Linked DNA regions of Rhinolophus ferrumequinum. The protein of the gene in region 3 interacts with the protein of the main gene of each other region in a biochemical or structural test. Links are inferred from orthologs where the notes say so. Each region holds a gene or a part of one and is shown on either strand. Other genes may lie near its edges.

The links.
Region 1: the proteins of GIPC1 (region 3) and LRP2 form a complex in vitro, tested with the Homo sapiens proteins (2 studies listed by BioGRID). The link is inferred for Rhinolophus ferrumequinum from reciprocal best matches to the Homo sapiens genes GIPC1 and LRP2.
Region 2: the proteins of GIPC1 (region 3) and RGS19 form a complex in vitro, tested with the Homo sapiens proteins (2 studies listed by BioGRID). The link is inferred for Rhinolophus ferrumequinum from reciprocal best matches to the Homo sapiens genes GIPC1 and RGS19.

Annotation. Positions count from the first base shown.
Region 1 is NC_046291.1:54,554,009-54,561,885, reverse strand, and holds the start of LRP2 (low-density lipoprotein receptor-related protein 2), read right to left. Parts: upstream 3,036-7,877; 5' UTR 1,919-3,035; coding exon 1,840-1,918; intron 1-1,839. UniProt on the Homo sapiens protein: Multiligand endocytic receptor. Acts together with CUBN to mediate endocytosis of high-density lipoproteins. Mediates receptor-mediated uptake of polybasic drugs such as aprotinin, aminoglycosides and polymyxin B.
Region 2 is NC_046306.1:128,516-135,449, reverse strand, and holds the start of RGS19 (regulator of G-protein signaling 19), read right to left. Parts: upstream 3,093-6,934; 5' UTR 2,818-3,092; coding exon 2,630-2,817; intron 2,369-2,629; exon of another isoform or gene 2,350-2,368; intron 2,327-2,349; coding exon 2,315-2,326; intron 2,177-2,314; coding exon 2,133-2,176; exon of another isoform or gene 2,063-2,132; intron 1,506-2,062; exon of another isoform or gene 1,423-1,505; coding exon 1,411-1,422; intron 1,355-1,410; exon of another isoform or gene 873-1,354; intron 772-872; coding exon 656-771; intron 486-655; coding exon 367-485; intron 1-366. UniProt on the Homo sapiens protein: Inhibits signal transduction by increasing the GTPase activity of G protein alpha subunits thereby driving them into their inactive GDP-bound form. Binds to G-alpha subfamily 1 members, with the order G(i)a3 > G(i)a1 > G(o)a >> G(z)a/G(i)a2.
Region 3 is NC_046301.1:47,652,023-47,660,000, reverse strand, and holds the start of GIPC1 (PDZ domain-containing protein GIPC1), read right to left. Parts: upstream 3,050-7,978; 5' UTR 2,851-3,049; intron 671-2,850; 5' UTR 616-670; intron 1-615. UniProt on the Homo sapiens protein: May be involved in G protein-linked signaling.

The DNA.
Region 1 (7,877 bases), on a different chromosome or scaffold from region 3:
AACAGGAACATATAGTAAATCCTATCCCTATATTTAGGACATGAGATATATATAACCCTAAACGCTGAGGCAAACCCTCCACAATAATAATAAATCCTCTTTCTGTGTAACCAACACTGAGAAAAGGTGTTCAAAGTAAGAATTATTAACAGCTCCCCCTGCTTCTCCTCCCTTTCCAAAGATTTTTACAAGACCAGTGGGATTTGTTGGCGTTTCCAAACTTCTTCCCAGGAAGTCTGAAATGGGTACTGCTAGGAGTTGCTGTATAATTACTTAGTTGATTCCCTCTAAGGAGCTTACGCTAAGAATTGAGGAAAGAAAGCAGATTAACCATTTGAATACATGCCGCGGCCCATGCACAAGCCCTCCCCTCTCTCCGCCATAAATGGGGGTTTCTACAGTCCTCACCCGTCAACCCCAATATGTGATCCAGGAAAATCAATGTATTGCTTTGACTAATCCTACAACAATAGGGGTTTCGTTTTATTGTAGGGCAATTAAGTTGTCCGACGTAAGGAACAGGAGGGAGGGTAGTACTCTCCCATCCCCACAGACAGATTAGTCCCCGTGGAGGCAGTAGCGTTCTCTGTCTGTCTGGTGGTGGGTCACACGCGGCTCCCGGCTGCTACCTAGCAACGCAAAGCCGGGGAGAGACCTCGCGGGTTCCCCTGCCTCCTCCTCTTCACACTTCCCATTCATCCCTAGTGTTTCTTCCTTTCTTTCTCTCTCTTTCTCTTTCTCTCTTTCTCTCTCTCCTTCTCCCTCTCCCTCTCCCTCTCCCTCTCCCTCTCTCTCTCCCTCCTTCTCTCCTTCCTCTTCCTCCTCCTCCTCCTCCCCCCCCTGCTCCTCTCACTCTCTCTCCCCCTCCCGTTCCCTCCCTCGCTCTCCTTCTCCCTCTCCCTCCCTCCCCGCTGCGCTCTCGGTCCTCAAGCTCTCTCTCCCCTCCTTTTCTTCCTTACCCTCTCTACTTGCTGTATTCTGTCCTCTTCCCCCTTACAGTTTTTATTCTCTCCACTTCTTCCTCCCTCTTTCTCTGCCTCTGTTTCTGTAAAAACGTAAACTCTCCAACAACCTGAGAGAAGTTCGAAGTGTTTCATACCAGAAACTTTCTCCATTCGAGCGCTCAAAACTCTGGCCGCGCAGACGCGCCCCATTCATCAACACAAAAGCCCCCACCACCCGGATGGAAAGGAAAACCTTTCAAGAAAATGCTAGAGTATATCAGCCGCTCTCTCAGCCAATCCCACTTCCCAGCCTTATCTTGGCTCGCAAGTGATCTGTATCAAGATGCGGTCTCTTGGGGGTCACCGCGGGACCAAGTTTCGCTGGTGGAAAGAGGCGGGGGTGCTTTAGCCCGCAGCCTGGGCGAGCAAAGGGATCTCCCCCGCGGGGCGCTGCAGGTGGAAAACTGAGCAAGGAGCAGCGCGGAGGACCGCTCAACCCTGGAGAGCATAAACAGGGGCAGGGGGGAGCACAGGCTGCGCACTCATAGGGGAGACCTTCATTCTCAGGGTTCCAACCGCAAAGTGCTTTCCAGAAGGGTCGGTACAAACTCGCGTGGTAACAAAGACGGGGTCCCCGTGGGGTGCGCTGTCACCAAAACCGGCGGGGCTGCTTTCTCAAGTTTGCGGCTGCTCAGTTCCCGGGCGGGCAAAGGAGGGGCGCTCCTGCTTGCCTCTCACTGGGCAACCTGAGCGCCCCCGGGGGAGCCGCTCCGGCGCCGCCGCCCGCCCTGGCCCAGGCCCGGCCTCGCTCTGCTCGGCCCGCCTGCGGACTCGACCCTGTCACCGCTGGTGAAGTCCCGCGCTCCGCGCGGAGCTCAGCCGGGAAGGAGCTTACCTTGGCCACTGGCCGGCGCCAGGCAGGCAGCGAAAGCCAGCAGCAGCGTGCACGCCACTGCCACCACCCTGCGCTCCATCCCGCCGACGGCCGAGGGCTCCGGCCTCGCCGTTCCTTCCCTGGGAGGTGGGCGCGCGCCGCACACAGCAGCAGCAGCAGGAGCAGCAGCAGCAGCAGCGCGTCAGCTCGCGAGCGCTCAGTTAGCCCCGCGCCTCGGCGGGCTCCTACTAGCAGGAAGCTGGCCCGCCCGAGGCGTCCCGTTTTTCTACCCGCGCCAGTCCCCACCCTCCAGACAGTGCATAAAGCCCTTTAGACCCGACCGCCCCGGAACTAGCATGCGGGAATCCAGCGGGGAAGGCCCCCTGCCGCCCGGCCCGCCCCCTGCATTTTGCCGCTGAGAGGAGTGGGGACTCGAACGCGCGCTCACACGTGCACACTCCACACGTACTCACTCATACATAGCTTCACACAATCGCACACACTTCTCACTGTCACGCAAACGGACACACGCAGTTCACACACGCGCGTACATACACTCCTCTGTCACACACACGTGTGCGCGCACTCCACACTCAAAAACTGACACACGTGCACGCAGACTTCACAGCTACATACTCTTCATTCAGACGCGCTCACACGCCTCACAGTCACACACTCACATGCGAACACGTACACTGATGCACACACGCAGCTGCCCTAGCCTCTCCGCAGGATTTGCCTCCGCACAGAAGTCGGGTAGGCAGTCCACGGGGAAATGTGCCACCGACACAGTCTTTTAAAAGGGAGAAAAATAAGAGAAGGAAGCGAAGGAAGGAGGAAAGGGAAGGAGTTAAGAGCCTGCTGGAGAGATTTGTGATCATTCTCCAGTCTGCAATCCCTAGGCTCCCCCCGACACCCCGAGAGTTGAGGCGCGGAGATGGAGTGCCCTGTGGTTTTACGTTGTGGAGGGGGTTGACTCCATGTTGGGGAGGAGGTTGGATCCTTGTTTAGCTTTTCTTAAGCACCATATCTGCAGGTGTCACGGCCAGATCGCACTTCTTACAATTCTGTTCATTTCGAAGTAAAATTGCAAAGAATGAACGTCTTCTCGATCGTGCGGGTGCCCCTTTAAACGAGGAAGAAACGTTAAGGGGTTCAGAGAACTCCGCCGCTCCCTTCTTTGGTGCAGCGGTAAGTCTGGCTGACCCGGGACCAGCCCCCAAGAGCACTGCAAGTGACCCTTACACTCCCCGCCAGAGCGTCGTCCTCAGCCGGTCCGTGACACCAGAGCTGACAGAAAGAAAGGGGGGGTTGGTGCACAACCTACTCCCTGGCCCTGGGAGCCCTGTGTGAGGAAGGGATGCTTCCAGACCTGAGGTCGCCCCCAAAATCTCCTGCCCCTGTTCCAGGACGAACTTTGCATTGGGGCCCCAGGCTCCGAGTCCGGGTCCAGACTCAGGAGCCCTGTCTTCCAGAGGCGGTAACCATGCAGGCGGCAGCCCTTTCCGCGAAGCCCCGGCGCAGGGTCCCTCCGCCTCGCCCTCCCCAGGGGCGAGAACCTGCCAGTTAATGCCACCCCCTCCTCTCCAGAGCACGGATCGTCTGGGGCTCTGCTGATCCTCAGCAGTCGGGATCGCGTACCCTCCGTGGGTCTTAGAGGTTTATGAAACTTTGCGGAAGTGGGGGTGGGGGGTGACAGGTATTACTTTTGAGACAAAAAGAGAGGGAGAAATAGACGCAGAAAGAGAAAACTAAGCCTTAAGGAGTAGGGTGTGAGAAAGGGCGGGAGAGATTTCGTGGGTTTCTTTTCGAGATTTCTGAATGTGGAAATCCAGAGTTCTCTGCTCTGGCCAGTCACCGGAACGCTATTTGCCTTACTGCCGCGCGGGGGATGAGGCAGGATTGGGGACCTGAGGGGTTGGTGGGAGCCGGCAAATGAGGAGGATGAGCCCGGTGGGAGGAGGGAAGCTGCGAGGGGGCAAGAAGCTGAGCTTTAGTCTTGGCTGATTTATGCCGGTTCCGGGCGGCCGGGGCGATGGTACGAGACCGCGCGGAGGTCAGGCCAATCCGACGCCCGCCGGGGCCGCTGCGTAGTCAATGAGCGTCCCCGCACCCGCGCGTTGCAAAGAACAGCCGAGGGCGCTGGGGAGGCGCGCGCCGGGGCCCGCGGGCAGGCTGGGGGACTGCATGCGCGGGAGGAGGGTCGCTCCTAGTACACGCGTGGGCGCGAGAGGGTGAAAGTGAGTGTATGTGTGCGCACGCGTGTGTGTCCTTTCACTAGAGCAGCCGAGGCTCCAAACATTCCTTTCTGCACTAAAGGGTTTTCTTCCTCATTGTTGTCTTTGTGCTCCTGTGTTGCCAACTTACTGGAATTCCTGACGTGGTTGCACAGCAGGGCTCAGGCTGATCGTAGGAGCCAGCTGCGTTTGTGTACAGGCCGACCCCGCCGGTAATCCCAGAATAACGCCGGAGAAGGGGGGGTGGGGGGAAATGGAGGGAGAACGGGAGGGAGGAGAGCAGATAAAGATTGGGGATAAGGGACGACTAACAGCACGGTCCATCATTTCCAACACTGTGTATGTAAACTCACGTTCATACCCTCTTCCGCTAAAAAAAAAAAAAAAAAAAAAAAAAAAACATAACTTTCTCAATGCAACCCAAACTCGTGCAGCTTTTGCAGCCCGCACTATGTACGTGTTTATCTCCGGCATCTAGACCGGAGAGTGCTAGATTTGGAGGGTTAAATCTAAGCACCAGGCTCTGGGAAAGCCCAGGTTATTGCATTTGTGATTCAAGTCAGCATTGTTTCTATATCATGCAAAAGTGTAGTATCTTTCTTTTCTACATTGCTGTATACATATATTTACATGAGACTTTACAGAGTGGTTAACCAAAAGAGGTGATGAAAGTGAGAAAAATGAAATTTATCCTAGTAAATTCATGTCAATTAACTTCCTTGGTATACTTTTGACTTGTCTGTATTATTTTACTGATGCGTCTCAACACCAAATTACTGGAAATATTGTGAGCATTTTTTTTCCCTGTCCTGAACCAATTTCTGATTTTTGCAAAGGGCAAGAAGTTGTAAAATCTCCTTGAGTAAAATCCAACTTCAGGTTGCTATTAATTCAACCCAGATTGACCTCCTGAGCGCCAGAGAGCCAACTGCCCACTGAACGGCTCCAATCCAATGTTCCTAAAACCACAAATTCAACATGATGGAGCCTGAATTCAAAACCTTCAGTGTTCCTTATCTCAGTAAGAGGCACCATCATCTGCCCCAGAGGCCAAGGCTTTAACCAGTCATTCTTGACTCCGCCCTCTTTTCCCCACCCCCACATGCAATCAATCATGAAATTCTGTTAACTCAAGTTCCTCGATCTACTTCTCTTTCTCCAACCCACCCACTTCTCTCAACCTCACCGCCAGTAGCCACAAACCTCTCATCTGAATTATGGCAAGAGCCTTATAAAGGCCTGCTTGCCCATGTTGCCCCGGCCCATCTAGCCATCTATTTTCCATTTTGCAAGCAGACAATACAAAGTGCTATTTCCAACAGATGAGTGCTTTCACACTAAAGTCATTACCCATTAGAGGGTTCTGAAATCAATTTAGTAGGTCAGACAGAATAATTTTCAAACGAAATAAAACAGAATAGGAACTAAAATAACCTTCATATAGAAAGGCTATGTATTGTTTTACTAAACTCTTTTTTCAGATATATATACAGTGTAGCACCATGTAAAATATGTTTCTTATTATACATCTCAGTCGAAAATATTTTGAAGTATCTCTCCACAAATTACTTATTTTAAAAAAGTAAACAGTAATTTTAAGTGGAGAAACTGACATGTTTTAAAACTGACATGTTTTAATAGGTTTTATTATTATTTAGGTATGGTAAGGTCAACAGATCAGGAGAGGACTGCCAATGAAAAGATAGTTTCTTATACTCACAGATCCTAGGAGAGGGAATATAGATCATACCTTTGGGGGCCACCCAGGGAACCACCAAAGTCTTCACTCTGAGAGGGACAGTAGGGGTGGGGGGAACTATGGGCAAGCACCTCTACTGTGGTTTCCAAGGGAAGGAGCAGGTAGGCAGGGTAAGCAGGGTTAGGACTGGCTAGTTAGTATTTGAAAAGCACTCCCAAGGGAGACAACAGGGGAGGCAGGAGGTCAAGGCAAGGTGACAAGGCATACTGTCAGCTTGCCCAAAACAAGGTGTGTCCAGCATAAGCATGCAGGGCAGGTGTTAGGGCATCAAGATTTCAGGAATGTGGTAAACACAACATATACCCCATGGTATTACTGACAAAAATGTATAACCTGAATCTAATCATGAGAATGCATTAGACAAACATAAACTGAGGATCATTCTTTAAATAACCAACCTGTATTCATCTAAAAATGACCAGGTCATGAAAGACAAAGGAAGGCTCAGAAACTTTTCACAGATAAGACAATTAAATGCAACACATGGTATTGGGTTGGACTTGGACTGGGGAATAAGTAATTCTAAAGGTATTATTGAGAAAGTCAGTGGCATTTCAACATGGACTGATTGGATAATAGTATCATACACGTTAAAATTGTCTGATACTGGTTATAAAAGAGAATGTCCTTGTTTTAGGAAATATACCGTGAAGTACTTAGGGGTTCATGATTTTGCAACTTACTCTCAAATAATTCAGAAAAAAAAGTGTGTGTGTGTGTGTGTGTGTGTGTGTGTGTTTTAGGAAGAGAGAAAGGAAATGGGCAAGAGTATGTGGGAGTTTTTTGCACTATTCTTGCAACTTTTCCGTGAGCTTGAAATTAAATTAAAATAAAATGATTTTTTTTTTTAAGTTTGAGAAATTTTGCATTAACTCGTAAGTTCCACAATGGATTGTTCCTTTCTTTGCTCCTATTATTCCCTCTGTCTAGAACACTCTTTCCTTCCCATTCCTCCCCTTCCTCTGGTTAATTTTCCAGTCTCATCTAAAATATCTCCTCTTCTTCCAGGAAGCTTTCTGTAAACTCCCCATACTGACTTAGAAAGAACGTCTTCTTTTTTTTTTTCTTTTAATGTAATTGTAATGTTTTATTTGTTACAAGTCTACTTAACAAACAGTTATTTCTACTCTATAGCATTCACAGAGAAATGGTTTCTCTCTCTTTCCCTCTTTCTCACACCTACAGATACATTTTTTTATTTCACTAATGTTTTATCAGATTTGAGTAATTGTTCAAAATTACATTATTACATAATATGTTTCTGAAAGCAGCAAGCAGAAAAGATGGTTAGTACCTGTTAACCTAAAAACAAATGAAATATGACAGTGGTCCATATTTCAGGGCCTAAGGAACATGTCCCACCGAGCACTCAGTCAGCAGCCAGCCTCAGGGCCCACTCATAATGCTGCAGGACTTTATCCAATTTGTATACGAACCCAAAGATGTTCAAGCTTTCTATATAAAAAGTATTTCTTCAAAGTTTCTTTAAAGCCAATTTCTCTAAAGAAATTATACTTTTATCCTTTAAAAGTGATGCCTTTTCTATTTTTACTGCTTTTAAATAATGGATAATTGCATCAACTTCCTATTTCCTTTGAAATTCCTAAAATTGGCCATAGTAGAAATATAGCTCTTACAATTTTTCTTCAAGAGATTTCATGCATAACACTTTTTGATAAGCGTCTTCACATTTTCTGCAATTGCCTGTTTCTATGTACATATCTGCCAGGCTTATGTAAGCAAGGTCAAATGTGGGCTTTTTTTCCAGAGCAAATTCAAAATGAGATATGGCTAATCTTGTCATTCTGTCATTTTTCTCTATCCTGTCCTTTAGATTGCCAATTTGTAGCTTTCTTTATTTGAAAAACTTGTGTTCTAAAGCAAAGCCGTATCTGGTGATGCAGGAAGGCAGAGGAGGGTGTTGCCTGCAAGGCCATTTTTAAGAGCTGAAGAGCTTTATTCAAAGAGCCTTTTCTTTGGTAAACCTTGGCTGCGTATCGAAAGACGTAGGTCTGCAAGGACATGTTGTTCAGTGCTTCTTCAATGTACTTTTGCCCTTCAGC
Region 2 (6,934 bases), on a different chromosome or scaffold from region 3:
CAAGCTTGTCCCCATGGCCCGGGCGCCAGGCCTCTGCTCAGCTCCCCTCCACCTGACATAGTTTGGAAGGTCTGCTTTTGTCTTGTTGTGCTGTAGGGTTCTCAGAGCCAGTGGGGACCCGCAGGCTCATCAGTAAGCATGCGTTGAGCAAAGGGAGGAGGGGCCCCGCACACACAGAGGCCTGGGCTGCGGGCCACTGGTCAGCACAGCCCAACAGCCCCTGGCGAGTGCTGCGGGTGGCGGGGCACCCTGCCTGTAGGCAACACCTCAGAAGCCGCCCGAGGGTCCAGGGAACGGGCTCCTGGGCCCAGGTCTGCTCCACCCACGATGCCCACCCAGGCAAACCGTGCCCCAGTCCCCACGTACCAGCAGCTACAACAGCAACACCAGCAAAGGCAGCAGGGGTTGCGGCTGGAGGCAGCTGGCGGGGCCGCATCATGACTGGACATCGAGGGGGGCTGATCTGCCTCCTCTGGCCCTGTGTGCTGCAGGTAGATGGGGGCCATCTCAGCCACCCTGCGAAAGCTGCGGGCCCACCCCCGCCCGCTGGTGGCCATGCTCCCAAGGGCAGGACCCTTCCAGCCCCCTAGGTGTCCGAGGGCCTCCTCCTTCCCCAAGCCCCCGGGGACAGAGGCAGGGGTGTGGGGCGCTGCACCTGTTTCTCAACCTCATGCGTGGTGGGCATGGGTGGGTGCAGGACACCCAGGCTCCGTGGTGCTGGCTCCGGGACCCTCCCCACAGCCTGGGGTTCTGAGAAGAGAAGCCGAGGTTCTCAGAGAACCTGAGACCCCAGCCTCTGCATGCCCCCTGGGAGGGGTCCTGAGTCTTGCCCTCCTCACCCCTGCCCCACAGGGCCTGCTTCCTGCGCTCACCCCAGCTTCCACCAGGGCTGCGAGAGGTGCAGGGTCAGTGGGGAGAGGAGCCCGACAAGACCTCCAAAGGAGGTTCCGGGATAACCCCCTCTGCTCAGTCCCTGGGAAGCCGGAAGCCTGGGTTCCTCTTTCTTGGTTTCCGGCTCCTGGCCCCTCCCAAGGGGGCTTGGGGCCCCAAGGCTGGGGCTATCAGGTTGGTGCATAGGGGTGGTAGTCAGACATTCAGAATGCCACCCCAGGCCCCTCCATCCTGTGGTTGTGTGGGGAGGTGGGTAGGGTTGCTTCCCACCAGGAGTCCAGACCTGCCTGGGGGACCCAGATTAGGCCTGAGGCATAGAGGGTCTGAGTGGGACAAGGGGCAGGACTTCCTGAGGGTGCAGGAAGTAGGGCAGAACACGGGTGGGGAGGGCCGTGCGCTTCCAGGGGACCTCGGTCCTAGACGCTATGCTTGGTGCCCCCTTCCCCCAGCTGTCAACTAATGCCCCCGGTCTCCCTCCCCCCTCCCCCCACCAGGCTGCGGAAACCGCTGCGGCCTCACCACAGGGCGGGGGTGCCACGCCAGCCTGTCGGGGAAGCGGGGGCGGCAGTGGGCGGGGTCGTCTTGCTCCCGGGTCGGAGCTGCGGGGTCCCTGGGGGAGGCGAGGGGCGCGTCCTGCTCAGCCTCTGCACCGCACTTTCTACGCTGGAGGCGCGAGGGGGCGCTGAAGGCGCGAGCCGGTGAGCAGCCCCCGAGTGCCCCCCGAGAGACAGACCGCAGATCCCAGAGTCCGCGGGCGACAGTAGCCAATCAGCGGCCTGGAGGCAGTTTTGAACGCCTCCCCACCCTGCCCCTGCCTGCGCCCACCTAGGCCCAGGTGAGGACCCACACGACCTGGGGAAGCCCCCCTGCACTCTTCCACGAGGACCTTCCGCGGCCAGGAGGCTCACGACTTGGTTTCACTTTATTTTCTCATTCCTCAGCTCGTGCCTTTTAATCCCTGTTTGGCCCATCTTGGTCTCTTGGGGTCTCGGTGGTCAGGAGGGCAGGCAGCTTCTGGAGCAGGGCTCCGTGTGGGAGCGGTGCTGAGGTGACAGCAGCGACTCATGCACTTAGGGCACCCCTGCCTCCAGGGCTTGGGCACACAGAGGCCCCTTCTTTGACCCAAACCTGGGGGCTGAGTGCAGGGTCCCCTGGGGCCACCGTGCCTCACCACCTGCCCGGCTTCCCTCAAATCCTGGGGGCCTCCTCAAACGTGGTCCTAGGGCTCCCAGCAAGCAGATGGGGAAGCAGCAGCCCCACAGCCTTTCCCTCAGGGGTCAAGTTTCTAGGGAAAGGAAGGGGTGTGGCAACCTCTGAGGTTTGGTAGCTGTACCCCAGACCGGCTGTGACTTCCCCAGGCAGAAATGCTCTTCCTCCTCTGCACCCGCACCCACTGTGAGTGGGGGCAGGGCCCCAGTCCCACCCACCTCCAACCTAGCACCTGAAGACTATACCCACCTCTGCTGCCATCTCCAGCTCAGCTATGAACTGGAGGAGGGGACCTGCCTGAGAGTGCATGGCCCAGGTGCTAGGGGCCAAGTTTGGGGCAGAGCGGGTACCAGCCCATTCTGTCTGGGTTGCAGGCCCTGGACCTGACTCCCTGCACCCTTCTCAAGCTGGCTGGGGCCACCAGTGCCCCCAGGGCACCTGCTCTCTCCTGCGGGAAGAATAGGGTCTGTCTAGGTTTCTTGCCCCTCATTCTTGCATTCGGGAGGGGCTCCTTCCCTTCCCCCAGCCCCCCCCAAGCTTTGACCCCCCAGTCTGGGACAGGAGAGGCTGGCCAAGCAGCAAGTCTGGCCTCTGGGGACAGAGGCTCCCTCGGGAGCGGCTGCTGCTTTGCTCCACAGAAGGAAAAAGAACGTCCCCGAACCCGCCCAGTCCAAAAAAAGAATAAAAAAATGTGACAATCCCAGAAAAAAATGCCATAACCTTTGGGAGGGGGTTGACAGAGGGGCTCTAGTCCCTGCTTCTGATCCTACTCAGTACCTTTCCTAGCTGCTGCTCCCCAGCCCCCAGTTTGGCTGGTGGGGGAGCCCCAGCGTGGCTTTACAAGGCCGGTCAGTTTTCCTAACCCTGGTGACCCTCGCCCCCAGCCCACCTTTGCAATGGTGGGGGCGACTCACTTCTCTCGCGCTCTCTCTCCGCTGGTAGGGTCTGGCCTGGAGGAACCTGTCGCCTTCTGCAGGGGTCCCTTCCAGCCTCTGACGCCCCCACCCCTACCTCAAGGAACTCGCCATGGCGCCCCACTCACCAGCGACCCAAAGGCGAGGTGGGGGCGGGAGGGGCCACGTTCGGTCTGCACCCCCACCCTGACTGCCGAAGGGGCGTGCACTGCAGCAGCAGGGATTCGAGTCAGACGGCAGGGGACTCTCCTGCGGCGCTCTGGAGGGAGGTCGGCGCCGGGGGCCCCGATCGGCTGGGGCCGGGGGCGCAGCGCCTCCCCTGCGACTCGCAGGGCTCAGAGGCTGCCAGATCCAACGGGGCGGGGGCGGACAGGGTGTCCCGCCTCGGTCCCTCCCCACCAGGCTGAGGGGGGCGGGAGACGCGGAAACCTGGGTTCTTCCGGCCCCCCCTTTGAGCAATCACTTCCCCAAGCTTTGAGCTGCAGAAAAGGGGAACCCGGTTGCAGCGCCGACTCCCCCCGCGCGCGCGGTGGGGACGGGCTCCAGTCCCGCCGCGGCCCAGGGTCCACGTGGACCCCTCGGCGGGAGTCCTTGGGGTGCAGATCCCGGAGTCGGCTCCCGAGGCTCCCGCCCCACACGGCCCCGGGGCCCCGGGCCCGCAGGGGCAGGGCCGCCGTCCTCCGCGCCGCGCGCGTGCACTCACCGGCCGCGCTCTCGAGCCGCTCGCGCCGCCGCCGCCGCCGAGCCCGCGCGCTCCGAAGTCCGGCCGGATCGTCGGGGAGGGGGCGCAGGGTGCAGTGCGCAGGCGCCTCGGCCGCACTTCCCCAAAGCGCCGGGCTGGGACTTCCTCGCGCGGGGAGGCGCCCGGCCCGCCCCGCCCGGCGCGCCCCGCCCCGCGTTTGGCTGTTTCTGCGCCCCACGCGCCCCCTCCCCACCACCCCATAGAGTCCGGCCCAGCGCCTTGGTCCCCGTCGTCGCTTAGGGTGGCCCATGGAGATGAGGTGCTAATATTGGGGTCTCTGGCCTCCAGGCGGCCTGAGCTGGAACTGTAGTAGGTGGGGGTGTGGCCGTGCCCCCGACTCGGCCGGGCCATTCCAGCTGTGCCATTCATGTGAGTCGGCCATGAGCTTCCTGCCAGATGTGTGGCACGAGAGTCCTAGAGACGCAAGTGTCCCCATACGCTACTTGCCCCGCTGGAAAGGACTGTGTCGTGGTTACTCTAGGCCCCACCCTAGCCTTTCCCAGACTGGGTGCCCTCACCTGTAAAATGAGGTTAAGAGCCTGTTATCACCGCACTGTTACCACACTGTAGGGGGCTTCCCACGGAGGGGACCGGGGTCCTGTGCTGAGGTGAACCTGGATGCTGGGGGTATGGATTTTTGCCCCTGGAGTCACCACATGTCTCTCTCTATCTGTGGCTGCTGGCCGGCTCCCTTCTGACCCCTTCAGTTGCTCCAAGGTGTCATGCAGTTTAAAGCCACACTGTCCCCTTCCCTCGAATGTCCTGTCTCTTCTCTTTGGCTGATTCTCCTGGTACTTTATGACCTGGTACAGCTGTTAGTTCAATTTCTTATCCCAGCATGCTTACGGCCAGTGTCATAGTGGCTTTGACCCTGCTCTGGAAATGGTCCCCTGGACTCAGACCATATGTAGCTCCTGTCCCTAGTGCAGGCACTCGGCCTGGTGAGCTCCTGGAGCCGGTCCGGCTCACAGAGGGCCTCCCAACCGCACAAGTTGTCGAGATGTGAAGGGAAGTGGAGATTTTCCACGCACTCCTCATCATTCAGCAAGTTTCTGGCTGTCCCCTGAGCGGGACCTTGCAGTGAGCTAGACAGACCAGCCCTAGAGCAGATGAGACCCAGCCCGCAGAATGGGTGAGAGGTGAAGAGGGCCAGGGAGGGTAGAGGAGGCTGCATGGCAGGGGCTCAGGCCAAGCTGAGAGCGGGGAAGGTCAGAGAGGCCAGAGGGCCCTGGAGGCTGGGGTGCCTCTTGATGCTGTGTGCTCAGGGGCCCTGGCTGCCATGTTGGCAGGCTCCCAGGACAGGGCCCAGGCTGGAAGCCTGTCCAGACAGGAGACGACTGCTTCTCATTTACCCCAGATGACAGTCCTGAGAGGTAACAGCACAGAGATGGGCCAGCACCTGGCCAAGGTCACACAGCCAGGCGGATCCCACAGTGTGTGTGGCATCTCCACCCACCGCCTAAGACATGTGTAGGGCAACTGGTCATGGGTGGGGGTCAGCACACTTCCCTCCCTCCTCTGGCCAGTCCCCCACACCCTCTGGGTCTCCCGTACCTCCCCTGGGGAGTCTGTCTCTGCAGTGTCCCCGCAGCCCATGGAGGATCCCAGGTGGACTGGGGAGGAGCCCCTGAAGGCCATACAGCAGGAGATGTGGAGATGCGACTGACCCCAGGGCCCCCTGCCCAGAGCACAAGCCTCAGCCCGGCATCCCATCTGATCCCTCACGGCCCATGGGACGTGGTGCAGGCTTTGTTCTCGCAGAGCAGAAGCCACCTCCAGGCCCCACCACTTTCCTCAGACACTTTCTGAGGCTGGTCTGCGGACCTAGGGCCTGTCCCTGGTGGGATCAAAGGGCGCCCATATGCACAGCTGTCTGTGAGGCCGTCTTCTTGCTAGCCCTCTCCTCAGGGCTTTGTGCGTCTGCCCTGTCCCTCTGTCCTCAGGTGCCTGCCTAATGCAGTGACCCTGCCTTAGGAGCAATCGCTGTGGGGCACATGGCAACAGCGAGACCCTTGAGACTCCGTTTTAGAGATGAAGAAACAGAGGCTTAGAGAAGTGGAGAAATAAAATGTGCTTCTACTAAAATGATGAAGTCATCCTAGGCACTCAGTCTCTAGGCGTCCCCCAGAGACAGGGTGCTGGGTCCAGATGGCGGGGAGCCGGGCCAGGGGCCAGGGCTGGCTGTCCTCCATGCCTGTCTGGGTGCCAGTGGCCACCACTCCTGGGCAGTGGTTGCTTCCCCTTTTCTGTCTCTGTCCCTCACCCAAGCCACCTTCTCTGCCCCCCTCCTTCTCCCTCCCCCTCCCAACACACCCACTCCCCTTCCCACCTGCCACTACATGCAGCTCCCCACTCCCTCCCACTCCGCACATAGTTCTGGGTGTCCATCGACGCCAAAGGCAGCAACAGATGGGGAGAAGGGCTTGCTGAGGGCACGGAGGGCCCAGGTCTTCATCCTGAGCCGGGTCAGGGAGGGGCAGTGACCGCCACTGAGCAGGATTCCTGGCCAGACCCCAAGCTCTGACCTCTGCGCCCCTCCAGGGTCAGCTCTGCTGCTGCCCACTCAGCAGGAGGCCCCTGGCAGGGGTGGGGCTGGTCTGCGTCCCTGAGCCCCCGCTGGAGAGGTGGCTGAGAGAAATCCCGGGCTCTGCAAACAGCCTGTGTGGGAGAACAGTGTTCTTGAAGGTCTGTCCAGAATCATGGAGGTTCTTAAGGAATCCATAGGGTTAGCAGGACAGACAGGCTTGTCAGAATGGGGCAGGGGCGGCTTCCTTCTGGTCTTGGGTATGTACGTGGTGAGGAGGTAAGAGAGGCAGAGGGGACAGACGAGGCCATTCAGGATGAAAAGGAAAAACACAGGGTGATTTTCTGTCTGGGGCAGCAGGGTTCCCCTGAGGAGAACTTGCCCCTTCTCCAGTCTCCCAGCACAGCTGACGCTCCAGGTATTTTTTTTAAATTGGGGAATATTGGGGAACAGTGTGTTTTTCCAGGGCCCATCAGCTCCAAGTCATTGTCCTTCAATCTAGTTGTGGAGGGTGCAGCTCAGCTCCAAGTCCGGTCACCCGTTTTCAAGGTTGCAGGGGGGCACAGCCCACCATCCCATGAGGGAATTGAACCGGCAACCTTGTTGTTTGTTGAGACCTGGAGCTCTAACCAACTGAGCCATCCAGCTGCCCCA
Region 3 (7,978 bases):
CTATCGATAGTACCCATCACTGGATCTAGCACACAGTAGGCACTCACTGACTATTAGACAAAAAATAAATTCTAAATGAATAAATGAGTACTGCCTCCTCCGGTTATCTCATTACGCTCAATGATACTAAAAAAAAAAAAAAAAAAAAAATCCTCATTATCACCTCCCTTGGGTCCCCTCCCTCATCATACATTGGGAGGCAGAATGCTGAGAACATGAGTCTGGAATCTGGCTTCACCGCTTAATAGCTGTGTGGCCTTGAGCAAGTGTCTTAAGCTCTTCGAGTTCTAAGGAAATCATACATATGCATGGAACAGTTCCTGGCACACGATATGAGGATTCCATAAATGTCGGTGATTATTACTATTTCCATCTATAAACACAGAAGATACTAACTTCCTCTTTTTACGCAGGGCCCCCACATCCCGATCACCAATTCCCAACCTCCTTATTTCCTCTGCCCACACTTGCTGCCCTGGTTCAGGCTGGCTGCCTAGTCCTCACCTGGGGGGGACAGGAATAACGATGGTGAGGAAAGTGGGTAATTAATGAATTTGCCTTCCAGGCCAGAAAAGGCAAAATGGCTTGGGTTCAAAACCCACCCCTGCCACTTACCAGCTGAGTGGCTGTAGGCAAGTCACTTCATTTGACGAAGCCTCAGTTTCCTCATCTGAAAAATAGGTAGAATTCCTGTCTGTCAGAGAGTGCTTATGGGGATTCAAAGAGATTATGCATGCAACCTGCTCAGCATTTTATTTCCTTAGCAATTTAAGGAAACTGTTTGTATTATTAGTCATTATATTGCCTCCCTCCCTGCCCTGCCCAGGAACATCCCAGTCCTCTTTGCCTGCCAGGGCCTACTCCATGTTACTTCCTCTAGGAAGCCTCCCTGGCTTGCCTTAGCCTGTTGGAACTGCCCCTGTGGTCCAGACGGCTCAGGCCCATGAACTTAATTACATGTTGCCCTGGCACAACTCTTGTCTTCCAGTCTCAGGCTGTTATTAACTTCGTGTCCTATTTTAAAACGTAAACCAGATCGCATCATTCCCCTGCCTCAAATCTTACAAGTTTCCCACCTGACGGGGTAAAAGCTCCAAACTCCTTAATGTGACCCCCGACTCCTGCAGAATTGCTGCTTCAGCTGCATCTCCTGCCCCAGCTACCCTATTCCAAGCTTGGTCCAGCCTCAGAGCCTTTGCCCTGGCTGTGCCCTCTGCCTGATCTTTGCAGGCAGGGCTGGCTGCTTCTTGTCATTTAGGCTTCGGCTCCAAAGTCACTTCCTCTGAGAGCCCACCTTGCCCAGAGTTTCTATCATGTCACCCCCTCATATATTATTCATAGCACTTACCACCATCTGGAGGTATCTTTTTAATTTACTTGTTAGCTTGTTTGTTGCTTGTTTCCCCCACTAGAATGGCAGCTCCCCCCTCAAAATCCTTAGTTTTGACTTGTTCACTATTAAATCTTGTGCCAGTGCCTGGCACAAAGTAGGTGCTCAAAATATATTTGTAGAATGAATGAACATATCTTATATCCTCATTCTGACTGTTCTCTGAATCCCCCAATCCTCAGAACATGCCTGCCGTGGAGTTGCTAACTGCCACCCTCTCCCCACATTCCCAGGCTCTCCTCACCTGTGGGGACCGGAGAAAAAGAGTTTTGGCCTGGGCACCAAGCAGGTTAGTTGGAGTTCCAGCCTCCCTACCCTCTCTTCCTTGGGAAGGGCCTGAAACTTCCTTGGGAAGGGCAACTCCACAGCCACACAGAATGGCAGTGGCGGGGAAGCAGGAAGAGGGGCAGAGGGTTCCTGGGAGCTCACACAATCTCTCAGGGAGGGGGGGCACCACACCCAGGCTCCCCTTTCCAACAGGGGAATGCTTTGGAGAGAAGGGCGGGCGGCCTCTGATTCAGTCTTGAAAAACCGGCTCCTGGGTGTTTCCGGAGAGAACGCCTACTCCCCAGCCTGGGCCCAGGCTTCCTAGGGGGGCCTGGCAGGCACAGGACCCCAGCATCCAGGCTCCCTGCCTATGTCCCCTGAAGACATCACTCTCTTCTCAGGACCCAGGTACACCAGCCTTGCCTTCCAGCTCAAGGGAGAAGGAATACGGGCGCAGTTTATTGCTTGAGCTGCTGGTGTCTGGTGACCTCTGGCGGGGGAAAGAGCACGGGGAGAGAAGCAAAGACCAGCAGGTGTGGCCCACATGGTATGTATGGTGTGTGTGTGGAGGGGTGGGGAGGGAGAGGGTAGCACAAAGTGCAGTAGGCTGAGGAGCTGTGCAGGAACATCTGAGCCATGGAGCCACTGGACATGTAGTCTAGTGGTTGAGACTCCAGTTCTTCACTCTGAGGAATGGGACTGAGTCCCAGATCTGCCACTTATTAGCTGGTGTGACCTTGGGCAAGTCACTCTACCTCTCTGGGTCTGCTGCTTCACTCTTAAAAGAAGTAACAGCTCCTATGAGGTGTTTAAATTCAACGATCCTCATAGTAATTACCTGACACAAAAGTGTTCAATCAATGTTAGTGAGGACGATTTTTTTCATTGTTATTATCGGGACCTCGGTCCTTCCCAAGCCTCCCTAAACCCTGGAAGACTGAGGTGAGGCCAGCTCCGGGGAGGTGCCCCAGATAGGGCTCAGAAATACAGACCCCGCGTCTGTGCCCGCCAGAGTGGGGGCTGTCCAAAGGGGTGCAGGAGTCAGGGGTGCGGCTGGAGACCCCATCCTGGCGGTGGAGGCGTTGGCCCCCTACCCCCAGCAGGAAGGGAGGCGCCCAGCTGGGAGGAGGCCTCCGACATACCCTCGCCCAGCCTAGACCTCCAGCCGCGTCTCGCCCGCGCGTGAAACTCACCTGCGCCGCCGCCGCCGCCCTGCGCGCGCCCAGCTCGGCCCTCCGCAAACTCTGGTCCGGGCCTCTCCCGCAGCCGGGGCCGGGGGGCGGGGTCGGCGCCCGCTCCCAGCCAATCAGGAACGGCCTCCTGCAGCTCGCGGCCAATCCTTGCCTCTCATCCCCGTTCCGGGTGGAGCAGACGGAAACATTCCAGAGGGATCCCTCCGCCTCTCCCGACTCTTCCCGACACCCCGCGGCGCAGCGCAGTGGACCTTCCCGCTCCGCCTAAGCCGCGGCGGGCTGTACCATCGCAGGGCTGCGGGTAGGGGGGAAGCTGCGGCTGGGCCTCGGCCAATCGCGGGGAAGAAAGGAGACCAGCGACCAATGGGAAGCTGCAGACTCTGAACCACGTGCTATTGGTTGAGAGTCGGTACCCGGGATACAGGGTGGTGGGGGACGAGGGGCTGACCGTGGGAGTCAGGTGACAAGGCTGAGTTTCGGGGAGAGGATGCAAACTCCCAACGTCAGGAAAAGCAGACCCTTTAGGAGACTTGAGAAGGGGCCGAGGGCAGCCCCACAATCCAGTCCTCCGCCCCGCCTGTCCCTGCCGAAGCCTGGCAATTCTCAGAGCGGATAAAAAGATGCATTCATTCCAGGCTGGCGGGAGGGGGACTGAGATGAATAGGGAGGGTCCCGAGTGTCCCTGCTTCCTGGGGTGTACAATGGACAAGGGCATTCATTCATTCATTCATTCACTCATCAAATATTTAATGTGCCCCTGCTCGGTGCCAGTCTCTGACTTATCTCTACAGACACACCGGCTAGTAAACTGAATGTGTTCCTGGTAGAGGGAACAGTGCCTGCAAAGGTCTGGAGGCCAGACGGAGATATACAGCACATTTTAGGATAATGCAATATCGTAGGCGCTAGCCAAGCAGTGTGAAAGGGGGCAGTGAAACGGAAGACGAGGGCGAGAGGCCCTGTTCCCTTGTTCCCTTGTTCGTTAGACCAGCAAATATTTATTGAGCTCATACTCAGTGCTAGATTACAGTGGGTACCCACGCAACCCAAGCCTCTGCCCTCAGGGAGCTGAACTTTCAAGAGTCTGTCTCCTCCATCTGATTGCAGCCCGCCCCTCTCCTTTCCCTCTCCGCTCCCTCCCCCCCTCCCCACAGAGCACATGTGTGTGGATGAAACGACCAGGTAATCTCACGATCTCTAGGTTTGGCTTGTAACCATGATTTCTCAGGCAGGAGCAGGTTCAAGAAACAAGACACAGGCCAAGACTCTCCGTTCCCAGGATAGATGATATTTCCTTGTGCTAGTTCAAAGCTGACCACTCAGGCAGCTGGGGCTAGACCAGGACTTCACTTGTGTTCTGGGAACTGTAGATCTTGGAGGCCTCTAACTGCTGCGACCCTTCTCAAGCCTCATTGAATGACTGCGCCTTTGCAGTCCCCAGGTGAGCTGCTGTGAATCCCAGCCCCACCAGGTCCAGAAGAGGAGCAAAGTGAAAGCGGAGTACCGGCCCTGGGCTTAGCTAATGCGGGCTGCGTGGCTGGCCCCACCCAGCTGGCAAACACAGAGATCACCACGGCAACAGGTTCAGCTATTGTCCTTGACTTCCTGTTCTGCTGACCTCTGCCACCCTCACTGAGTCATCAGTTGCCTCAGCTGGGCCAGTGCCCTCTGTGGGACTGTACCCACCGCCCTGGTTGGACCCCGCATCTGAGTTGCCCCCTATACACCTGGAGAAGGCTAGATGGAGGGCTGCGGGGACAGCTCAGTCCTGAGCCTGAATCCACCTGTTGACTGATGAGGACGTGCCCAGGAAAGGGTGAGGGGGTTACCCAAGGGCACAGAGCAGTGTCAGGCACCTCCTCCTACCCTATTTTAGAGCTCAAGAGGCATGCCTGAAAACAGGCTGGGAGACCCAGCTGGTGAGGAGCTCAGATTTGAGTATTGCCTCTGCCCTTCTGGAAAAAGCAAGTTCTGGAATGCCAACTAATACATGCAGAAAGAAAGGTTGAATTAGAAAATCACAGCAGTAGAGGAATTATGCAGCCAGTAGAGGAATAAATAATTCAGGCAAGGCTCATCAATGAGGAAGTTAATATTTGGTCTCAAAGGACCAGCCCACAGGATTACTTTTTAATTATAATGGGGAAGAGGTACCAGTGGGAAAACCTGGAAGTCGCCACCTTCACCAAGTGATCAAAATTAACCACTAGTGATGGGACCGGCTGATGTCACGTGCCCCCTGCTGTGTGGTACTGAGACGGACACAACATCACCTGCAAAGTACTTAGTCCTGCCCAAAGTGGTTAATTGGAATCTAATCATGAAGAGACAACCAGGCATATCCTGACTGAGGGACATTTGGAAGGAAGGAAGGAAGGAAGGAAGGAAGGAAGGAAGGAAGGAAGGAAGGGCACTGACCTGGACTCTTCAAACAGATCTATGTCATAAAAGGCAAAATCAATCCCTTAATTAAATGAATGAATAAAAGTCTGGTGAGAAGTTCTAGGTTGAAGGAGACAAAAGAGAGATGACAACCAAAATCGTTGTGTGATCCTTGATTGGATCCTTGATAAAAATGTCAAAACAAAACAAACAAACAAAAAACAAAAAAAAACCCAGCTATGAAGGATATTCTTGGGATAATTGGGGATATTTCAATGTTGACTGGATATTAAATAATAACATTGTATCCATGTTAAATTTCCTGAGGGTGAGCATTGTATTGTGGTTACATAAGAGAATCGTCTTATTAGGTGTTACAGGCTGAATTATTTAGTGGTAAATTTGTGATGGCTGCAACTGTCAAATGGTTCAGAAAAAAATTATATATGTATAAAATATTTCATATACAATAAAATATGGTATACATTAGTATTAATACATAGAGAAAGCAAATGTGGTAAAATAGTAACAATTGCCACTGAATCCAGGAGAGTGGTACATGTATATGGTATTCATTATATTATTCTTGTTAAATTTTCTATAGCTTTTAAAATTTCAAAATAAACATTGGGGGAAAATACTCCCATTTCCCTCCCATCCCCAGAAGTGACCCTCCAGTGGGTTTAAAAATGTGCACCTTTGTGTTTGTGTCTTTCCTTGAAAATGTGCACTGTTTTATGTGGGCATTCTATTGTATTGGGCTTCTTACTTTTTTTTTACACTCAGCACAGTATTGCTTGTTTTGCACTGTACCTTGAAGATCCATCTGGTATTGCTAATTTCTTTTTTCTTTTCTTTTCTTTTCTTTTCTTTTCTTTCTTTTCTTTTTAAATTGGGGACTATTGGGGAATAGTGTGTTTCTCCAGGGTCCATCAGCTCCCAGTCGTTGTCCTTCAATCTAGTTGTGGAGGGCACAGCTCACTGCACTGGGCCATGTGGGAATTGAACCAGCAACCCTGTTGTTCAGAGCTCGCGCTCTAAACAACTGAGCCATCCGGCCTCCCTTTGACTATTTTCTTCTAACTTATGCTTGATGCTCCATGAGATGCATCCCTCGTATCTTACTCTTTTGTTTCCCAAGGTTGGTCTCCAGGCAGCCTCCAGATCTCCACACCACAGTGGGCAGCCATGGACCTGCCCTTTAGGGACCTGGTAAGATTCTCTCTAGGAGAGAGTCCTGGATGCAGAGATGCTGAGTCACTCAATTGCTATTGAGTGCCCCCCCTCCCCGCAGACTAGCTGCCCCCATCTCACCCACTGGCAGTGTGGAAGGGTCCCATATCCCCACATTTCTGCCAGCTGTTGGCATTTTCCAGCTTTCTAATTTTTGTCAATCTGACTCACTGTCAAGTGACATCACCATTGCTTGTATTACATTTCTCTGATTGCTAATCATTTTGCACATGTCCTCGTTTGCTTGATGGCCTTCTGGATCGCCTCCTCTGTAAATTGCCTGTTCATAGCTTTTGCCCATTTTGCACTTGAGCTTACTATCTTTTCTTGTCTATTTGCATGAGTTCCTCAGAGTTTAGATCTGGACTGTCCAATTGGATTTGTCTAACGTGAATGCTCCGCTCTCATGTAGTTATTGAGGACTTGAAATGTGGCTAATACAAATTGAGATATACTGTTGGTGTGAAATACACACCAGATTTCTAAGACTAAGTAGAAAGACAAGAAGATGTAAAATATCACATCTCATTAACTCGTTTTTATACTGATTACACGTCATCATAATAATAATGTGGATGTTTTGGGCTAAAGAAAATGTATTATTCAAATTAATTTTATCTGTTTCTTTTTACTATTTTAATATCTCTACCGGGAAACTTAAAATTATATATGCTCTTGCATAGTTCTACTGAATAAAGCTGGGATATTGAGCCCTGTCAGTTTCAACAATGATAGATAATGTTTAGATAGAGCTTCCTATATGCCAAACACTGTTCTAAGAATTTTATATTTATTAAAACATGTAACTCCCCTAATGACCCTGTGAGGTAGCTACAGTGTTTCACTTTGCAAATATAGTCTCCCCTTCTGTCATGTGATGATTCACTTTGTTTGTGATATTCTTCATTGGAAGGAAATTCCTAATTTCAGTGTAATAGAAGTTATCCATTTTGTGGTTTGTGCCCATGAAATTTCATTAAGGAGGGCCTTTCTATTCCTCAATCACAAAGATATTCTTTTACATTTCCTCCTAGTCATTCAATGGTTTTACTTTCCCTGTGTCTTTATTCCATCTCTAGTCCACTTTGGGTTGTGGGGTAGCGTACAGTTATAGTTCTTCATAATGTGCACTGCTTGCCAGCTGTGTGCCCCTGGGTGAACCCCATCTCCCTTGTGCCACAGTCTCCTCATCTTTAAAATGGGGATCATCATCATAATAAATGGATATAGTAATTCTAAAGTTGTTACCATTATATTAGGATGAAATGAGCTATTCTGTGTCAAATGCCTGGCAGATAGGAAGTACTCAGTGAACACCAGCTGCTATCATTCAACTGCACTGAGAGCACAGGATGAATAAACACTGTATGTCATAATAGAAACATGATAGAAATAGAAACTTTTATTAAGCTCTGACTGTGTGCCAGGCCCTGTGCTAGCTGCTTTTCAGGAGTAATCCCACTGGATATGGTCCCCATTATATAGAGGAGGAGACTGAGGCTCAGAGAGGGGG